2 linked regions of the Nothobranchius furzeri genome follow. The protein of the gene in region 1 purifies or fractionates together with the protein of each later gene. This does not show direct contact. Links are inferred from orthologs where the notes say so. Each region holds a gene or a part of one and is shown in the gene's direction. Other genes may lie near its edges. The genes, in order: ppil2 and znf830.

Region 1 (3,822 bases):
TGTGCTACATAACTCATCTGATGACTGGGAGACGAGTGGCCTGTGACCCGTTTTATGGATTAGTAAAGTCAGTTTCCACAAAAGACCATCCACTGCTTTTCCCGACTGCACCTTTTCTTTTCTAAGCCCATTTCTGATTCACTCTCCGTGCAGCTAGCAGGGTTTCTGTGCAGGTTACAATAGGAGAATAGAAAAGTAAACGGCGTTCCTCCCACTACTAAACCCAAACCAAAAACAGGGTTTCAGTCAGTAGAAGTAGGAAACATTGTTGTGCAGAGGTCATAAAAGAGGTCAAAGAGCTGACGGTGGGTGTTTTAGAGGTCACATCATATCTCATGTGTGGATGAGCTTTAACCTTTCGTACTCGCCATTTATTAGTATTGAAGAGGGCAAAAAGCCGACCTGAAAGCCATGTTTGTGTTTGCCCCCCCAGGCCCACTACTCAACAGGAAGAGTTTCTGCCTCCTTCACATCTACGGCTATGACTCCTGCAACGACACACGAAGCAGGCGAGTCTACATCTCACACAGATAGATCCTCTGCAGCAAAAACAAGCCTTCATCTCTCCTTAATCTGGTTGCGTTAATCTCTGTGCTGAGAGGCCTGGTTAGTCGTGTGTGAGCTTTCTTCGTGCTCGCAGAGCCGGTAATGTTGTCACCCTGTCAGAGAGCGGACCGCTGCAGCGAGAGGGAGTCGCTGTTATGCAACACTAGTAGGTTCAGACTTCAGAGGAGGACAGCGTTTGAATCTGGTGGCCTACTTCAGTGTTCTTAATGCGGCTGGGGCGTGTTTGGTAATCCAAGAACAGATAAGAGGTCTAAAAAGTATTTGAAATAAAAAGTTTAGCATAAATGTTCTGGAATAACAGACGTGTGGCTCCAGTCCTGGTTCTCCAGGGTCACGATCGGCACGTTCGGTGTCCCCTGCATGGTGGCACAGTTGGCAGAACTGTTGCCTAGCAGCAACGTGGTTGCGGGTTTGAATCCCAGTTACAGCCTTCCTCCGGTTTCCTCCCACAGAACGAAAACATGCATGTCGGGTTAGAATGAAAGCGTCGGCACAATAAAAAGAAACAAACATGTCTTCTAACCGGTTTGATGACCTGCTGAACGGGTATCTGGTGTGCCGGAGCAGGGAAACATCTAAAACATGCAGGATAGCTACTCAAGGACCAGGCTCCATTTGTTCTATTCAACTAAACATTTTTTATTTGGCTCAACTTCCTTTTTATGGGACGCTCGAGTTCAAAAACCCAAACTAGCTTCATTAAGTTATTTCTAGTTAATCAAAGAGCAGGAAGGTTGTTACGAAATGACCTTTTGAACCCAGAACCCTCTTTTCTCCGTCTGATTCATGTCTGCTCGTTAAAAAGCCAAATAACAGATCGGCTCTGATGGAAGCCGCGCGGAGCCAGGCGGCAGCACGGGCCGGCCCTCTGAAAGGACACAAAGGACCACGTGCTCGGTCCACCGGTGGAGGACGGACAGACGAGTGCTCGGGTCAGAGGTCATGAGCAGAAACTACCTGATTAAATGTTGCTACGGAGATGAGGAGAAGCCTGGTGGAGGTTTGGAGAGCATCCTGTGGTTAAATGACGTGAAGATCGATGTAGAAGACATTTTGGGTCAGAGCAGTGACGAAGATGGGAGGATAATGGTCTGGGGACGTTTCTGGATCACGCGGAGAAGTTCCCTAAAGCTTAGTTTAAGGGCTGATTTGTTTGAAATACTGTAGTTCAGATTCCTAAATAACTATTTCCCAAACTAACACTGAATTATCTTTATACTCCAACATTTCCAGGCTTATACAGCATTTATTTCATTATTTACATTTTCTGTCCGTTATGAAACCATATTTAATTATTCCGTGTTTATTTCTGTTCTCTGTACAGATGCCATTGCCGACGACACGGTTCGTTATCAGTATGTGAAGAAGAAAGGTTACGTCCGTCTGCACACCAACGTGGGAGACCTGAACCTGGAGCTGCACTGTGACAAGGTAAAAACAACAATCAGGCCAAGAAGAGCCGCTGATGGGGATGAAAACCGCAGTTATTTATCGTCGGAACAACGTTGGTCTGAACATTTAACCTGTTGTCTCTTAGGTCTTTTGGGTAAAACTACAAGTCCCATGATGCAGCAGTCCTGTCAGGAGAGATTTTCCATTAAAATAACCCACTTTTTTCTCCATCAGTTTCCAAACTAAAATAAATGAATCTGATACTTTCCTGTGGTTATGAACTCACCGAGCACAAACCGAGTCATCAGAAACTGAAACGGATCTAGATTCTGGATCGGCCGTCGCAGCTGCATTAAAACCCAGGGTATCCGCGGGTCCTTAAAAAGTCTTAAATTAGCTTTTCCAAATTTAGAGGCCTTAAAAATCCTTACAGTTTCCAAAGGTCTTAAATTATCAAAGACCCAATAAACAAGATTCTTTTATTTCTATAAAATGTTTGTGAATTTTTAGTTAGTGTTCAGCATCTTTTGTGTACGATGTTGGCGTAAGCGGAACCGTACACACTCAGTTGGTTGTGAAAGGGGGATATTTTTAGAAGGGCACATTAGCTGGTTGAGCTAGTGGGAGCTTGCGCCATGGGGAAGTGCAAGTTTAATGTTAACTGGATGGCTAATCCCACGTTAGCACCGGTTCCAGGCAATAGCTGAAATTATAGCTTAGATTTAATTTTAAAAATAGCTTAAATTTGGTCAAAGTGGCCTTAAAAAAGGTCTTAAAAAGTCTTAAATTTGACGCCCTTAAACCTGCAGATACCCTGAAACCAGAACCGTGCATCTCTATCGGAACCTTAAATGACTACCTGCTCAGTGGCCAGGTGGTAGTGTCCACCCTGAGACTGGGCTCAAACCCACGGTTGGGTCATACCAAAGACTTGGGACCCAATTGGTTAAACCACCAAATTGTTCCCGAGCGCAGCCACAGCTGCAGCTCACCACCCCCTCAGAGGACGGGTCACATGTGGAGAACAAATTTCACACCAAAGAGTGTGACAGCTGGTGGGACTTAACCGACTAAAGCTGATTTTATCGCATTTGATTTGATGAAACGAGGAAGTTAAATCTTAAGACTTGTCCATGGCTGACTTCTCCGCTTCCCGACGATCTAAAGTACATTTTCAGGTTTCCAAACGAGTTTGCATGTTCGACGTTCTTCAGCTGTGCACAGAAATACAAAATGAGCCTTCGTGATTCTGCTGCAGCAGCAGGGTCACAGATACAGAACTGTCGTCCAACTCCTGGGTTCAGAATCAGAGGAGAGAAATATTCATCAGCAGTTCCACCTCCAGATGTTCCAGAAATCTGTTGCATCTCACATCGCATCAGTAAATGTTTTTCTGTTCCAGAGTTGAGTTTTACTGCTAAAATGGAAGGAATGTTGCTGTTGTGGGTTTTAGAGGCTCTTTGTGCTGTTTGTTGGTACCGTTTGGCACAGAGTTGAACTTTAGCAGCGGGTTTGTGATGCAGGCGGAAACGAGCTCAGAAAGTTGTCCCCCAGCAAAAGAGCCAGAGAGTAAAATAGGTTTTACGAAGCAGCTGTTGTTCTTGGAAACCATCATCATGTTGCCAAGGAGGGGAAAAGTTAGCGACTCACTCCAGTAGACCCCATCACGGCCTAAGCCCCGCCCTGTTCCAGATCCGGCTCCGGTGAGATGTTTTACAGCAGGGCCCAGATACCGCTCTGTGTTTGACGGCAGCAGAACAGAGCAGCTTTTCAGATACCTACACGTCTGCTTCAGGCGACACATGAACTTACTTCCTCCCAAACTTCTGTAAAGATCATTTCTGACAAACTGAGCTTCATCTC
Region 2 (3,942 bases), on another chromosome or scaffold:
AGGGAACTCCAGCTCATCACTGGTCAGGATAATTGGGTTTTTGTTGTCATCGTCCTTCACTGATGCGTTTCCGTTGATGTTGTTTGCATTAAGCTGCTGCTGCAGCGCGGAGGTTTTAACTGATTTCTGAAAAGCCTTGTTGGATTTAAAGTGGTTGTAAGTGTCGTTAGAGATCGTACCGTTAGAGGTTTCCTCGTAGGTGTCCGTTATCTCCTGGTTTTTGTTTGCTTTTTTGTGATCTTTTCGCATGGTGCGGATCTTTTCACCTGTCATGGTGCAGACTACAGTACGCTAATTACTAGATTACAAACTGGTGAAGGCGTGGCGTTTATTAAAGCACTGAAAGGCTCCGCAAATAAACGACAAATATTTGCTTGTTTTAAATATTTGATTAAATATCGTTACAGCTGTTGTCCCGAGTCAATTAGCTCCCCCGGCGCTAGCTAGCTAGCCCACAATAAAATAATGAATATGGTGGGTGCGGCGATGAAAACAGAAATTAATGCTAAACCCAAAATAACACTTGTACTAAAATAACATAAAGCTAAAACGTACAGCGACTAACGACGGCTACATCGTTATCTATTCTATCGCACCTTAAATCTACGTTTTAATATTATCGATTCAGTCTTTGCAGCAAAAGTGGGGCGGACAGGTTGGTATAATAAACCAAAAAGCTAACATTCTCGCTAGCACCAGCGGTGTACCGCAAATCTCGCGAGATTATTGGTTTAAAGAGTAAATTAATATGATTAATTTAAAGACAGGATGTTGATTTAGTAACTTCTAAAATACAGCTAATAAAAGAAAATGTAAAAAAAATGTATTATTTTTGTTCAACCAAGGTATATTGTGTGTTTTAACACGAGACAAAAATTAAAGTATACACTTGTTCATTTTTATGCCGTTATTTTCAACGAAATATAAAATTGCTTTTCCAAGAACAGACATATGTTAATGTGATATTTTAGAAAACACAACTTTTATGACACATGAAAAGTTTATGACTCCGGTTTCCCACAAACCAAAAACATGCATGTCAGCTTGATTTGACACTTATATTGGCGCTTTCACATCCCACGTGTTAGTATTACTGACTTCCATACACTTTCATAGATACCTTAAAGGCTCATTTTAATAATTAGTTGCAGAAAAAATACATGTAATCTCAATTAATGTTATTTAGTCTTTTATTTTTTATATCTTATAGTTTTAGTGTTGTTTTTATATGCTTGTAGTTTGAGTGTCTGCCAAGAATAACTGAAACTTTTCCGAAAAAATCTCGTAAATTTAGATAGGCCTTTACCCAATTATCATTTTAAACACAGAAGGAATCGTTAACAAATAACTAAACATTGTGCAAAAACATAATATCAGCCATATTGTCAAATACGTGACTTTTAATAGTTATGAACCCAAAAGTTTCCAAAATGTTGCTAAACACGGTTAAAAAAGGTGGAAAGGAGTGAGAGGGGCATTCATTCAAAATCAGAAAGAAATAAAAAATGTAGGTTGTGTTATTCCAGTTCAAATCCAGTTGATGGCAGCAATGAGCTAGGCGTTACCTTTTACCCGCGATAAAGACGAAGAAGATACGTCATCTTCATGAGACGTATTTTTACGGTGTTGTGAGCTAGTTGCTACCTGGCTAACAAGACGTGTTATTAAAAATGGCATCCTCTAAAAAAGGAAAGAAAGCAGTAAATCAAGAAGAGCTTCGACGGTTGATGAGAGAGAAACAAAGACAAACCACCGAGAAGAATCGCATCGTGTCTCCTTTCGCTAAATACAACAGTCTCGGTCACCTCAGCTGTGTCCTGTGCAGCGTCCAAGTGAAGTCGGAGCTACTGTGGCCAGCCCATGTTCTTGGAAAGCAGCATAAGGAAAAGGTTGCTGAGCTGAAGGCAGCCAAGACTCAATCAGTGGCTGCACCGAGTCAAGCGGTGAAGAGGAAAGCGTCAGACAGCGAAGACGCTATTGGGAAGAAGGCAAAACCAGCGGCGGTTGATGGTCAGGCTGCGTCAGGAGTTCCTGGAGATTTCTTCGATAAACCCAGCGATGAAGCTGCTGTCCCTGCTCAAAAGTCTGCAGGACTGAGTCTCTTGGCCGGTGTTTATGACGGGGATGATGATGAGGAAGAGGAAGCTGATGAGACGAATCCACCTGCTCAGAAGACTGAAGTTGCAGGACTACCATCTGACTTCTTTGACAGCTCCATCCCATCCACACCTGCCATTTCCCATTCAGGATCAATCCTTAAAGCAGACGTGCAGGAAAAGGCCATTGAGAAGAAGGATAACACAGCAGAGGCGCTCCCTGAAGGCTTTTTCGACGACCCAGTCAGGGACGCCAAAGTGCGAAACGTGGATGCACCAAAAGATCATATGGACAAAGAGTGGGAAGAGTTTCAGAAGGAGATACGACAGGTGAACACCAAATCAGAGGCCATCGTGGCGGAGGATGACGAAGAAGGTCGCATTGAACGCCAGATCGATGAAATTGATGAACAAATTGAGTGTTACAAAAGAGTGGAGCTACTCAGGGATAAGAGAGAAGTGCTGAAAAGGAAGGTTGTGCACGTGCCTAGTGAACGCATTCAAACAGAGGAGACTGTTGAAGATGATGAGGAGGATGAAGAAGGGCTCCTGGGGCTTTTGTCTCGAGACTGGAGGGCTAAAGGGGCTCTGGCCTGAAGGAACTTTATTACTGACTCAACAATTATTTTGTTTAAAGATTTCAGTTCAAGATTTATAAATAGATTTGATTTAAAAATGCTCATGTTTTTCTATAACATTACAGTGATTAACACAAAGTTGCAAGATGTGAGTAAAACTCAGAAACAATATCAGTTAATGACCACAAAATAAAACCATTTATCATCTTTATTGGTGCCCAAACAAAAAACAATCATAAAATCTCATTTACAGCAACAATTTACACCATGATGGCGGCCAAGGCCCTGACAACATGAGCTCAAATAACCATTGTCCTGCATAACCTATTGATGACATGTTTAATGAAAAAAAAAAAGTTCATGTCACATCAAAAATCAACATTTGCAGAACTAAATCATTAAAATATTGTGATTAAGACCATAAATTAAGTTTCAACAAGCTGGCCCCCTTAACAAGATAACCAGTTAATAATACATTTGTACAAAGCACAACAAAGTTTTATATTTCTGCGATGTAGATAGATGCACTATTAAAATGCAATAAAATGTATTGGAAATAGTGATTGTCAGTGTTTCTTACACTACCTTTTATATATATGATGAGCTAGGGTTGCCTTTTTCCCACTGCAACATCTCAAACTTACTTATTGCTGCATGTCTCATAAACAACCACTTCAAAGTGTTCATAGCCCTTCATATCTACAAAACATGACAAAATAAATTTTAAAAAGTATAAATACATGAACAGATTATGTGATCCGTTATAAACCTGGTGAAAATAAGGAGGAATAAATACAGAACAAAAACACTTTGTTTTATCCCAAAAGGTTTAAACTGCAGTATTCACTTGAGGTGAATAATTGTCTGACAATGCCATTCCTAGTGTTCGTTTGTAAACACAGAGTTTAAAAGTTGTACCGGGTGTTTATGAGAGCATTTGGAACTTGATGGGTCAAGAAAAGCCTGATGGAAAATGGAGGAAATGGATGAAAAGAATATAGAAAGACTGGTGTTCGGGAATGAGATTAAAACAACACCAATGGTCATCGGTGGTTTACTGTAATAAACCAAAGACCTGGCTACATTAGATCTGAATGTTTTCCTTACAGATGCCTGTCTGAATTTTGTCTAAAATGTAAGTAGTGATTTGTGACTGATGTCTAGAAGTGAACTTTGAGGGTGAGGGGTGAGTGAAGTGGGGGGCATATCAGTGCCATCTTTTCAGTAAGACGAATATTCAGATCACAAAAAAGTGCAGCAGTTTCAGA

Evidence for each region.
Region 2: the proteins of ppil2 (region 1) and znf830 purify together in Homo sapiens (co-immunoprecipitation; 4 studies listed by BioGRID and IntAct, counting the BioPlex papers as one, with this or other methods). This does not show direct contact. The link is inferred for Nothobranchius furzeri from reciprocal best matches to the Homo sapiens genes PPIL2 and ZNF830.

Annotation. Positions count from the first base shown.
Region 1 is NC_091750.1:38,469,800-38,473,621, forward strand, and holds part of ppil2 (RING-type E3 ubiquitin-protein ligase PPIL2), read left to right. Parts: intron 1-433; coding exon 434-509; intron 510-1,891; coding exon 1,892-1,998; intron 1,999-3,822. UniProt on the Homo sapiens protein: Has a ubiquitin-protein ligase activity acting as an E3 ubiquitin protein ligase or as an ubiquitin-ubiquitin ligase promoting elongation of ubiquitin chains on substrates.
Region 2 is NC_091751.1:50,905,270-50,909,211, forward strand, and holds znf830 (zinc finger protein 830), read left to right. Parts: upstream 1-1,560; 5' UTR 1,561-1,670; coding exon 1,671-2,693; 3' UTR 2,694-3,237; downstream 3,238-3,942. Other genes in the region: ankyrin repeat domain-containing protein 13C, read right to left, coding at 1-273.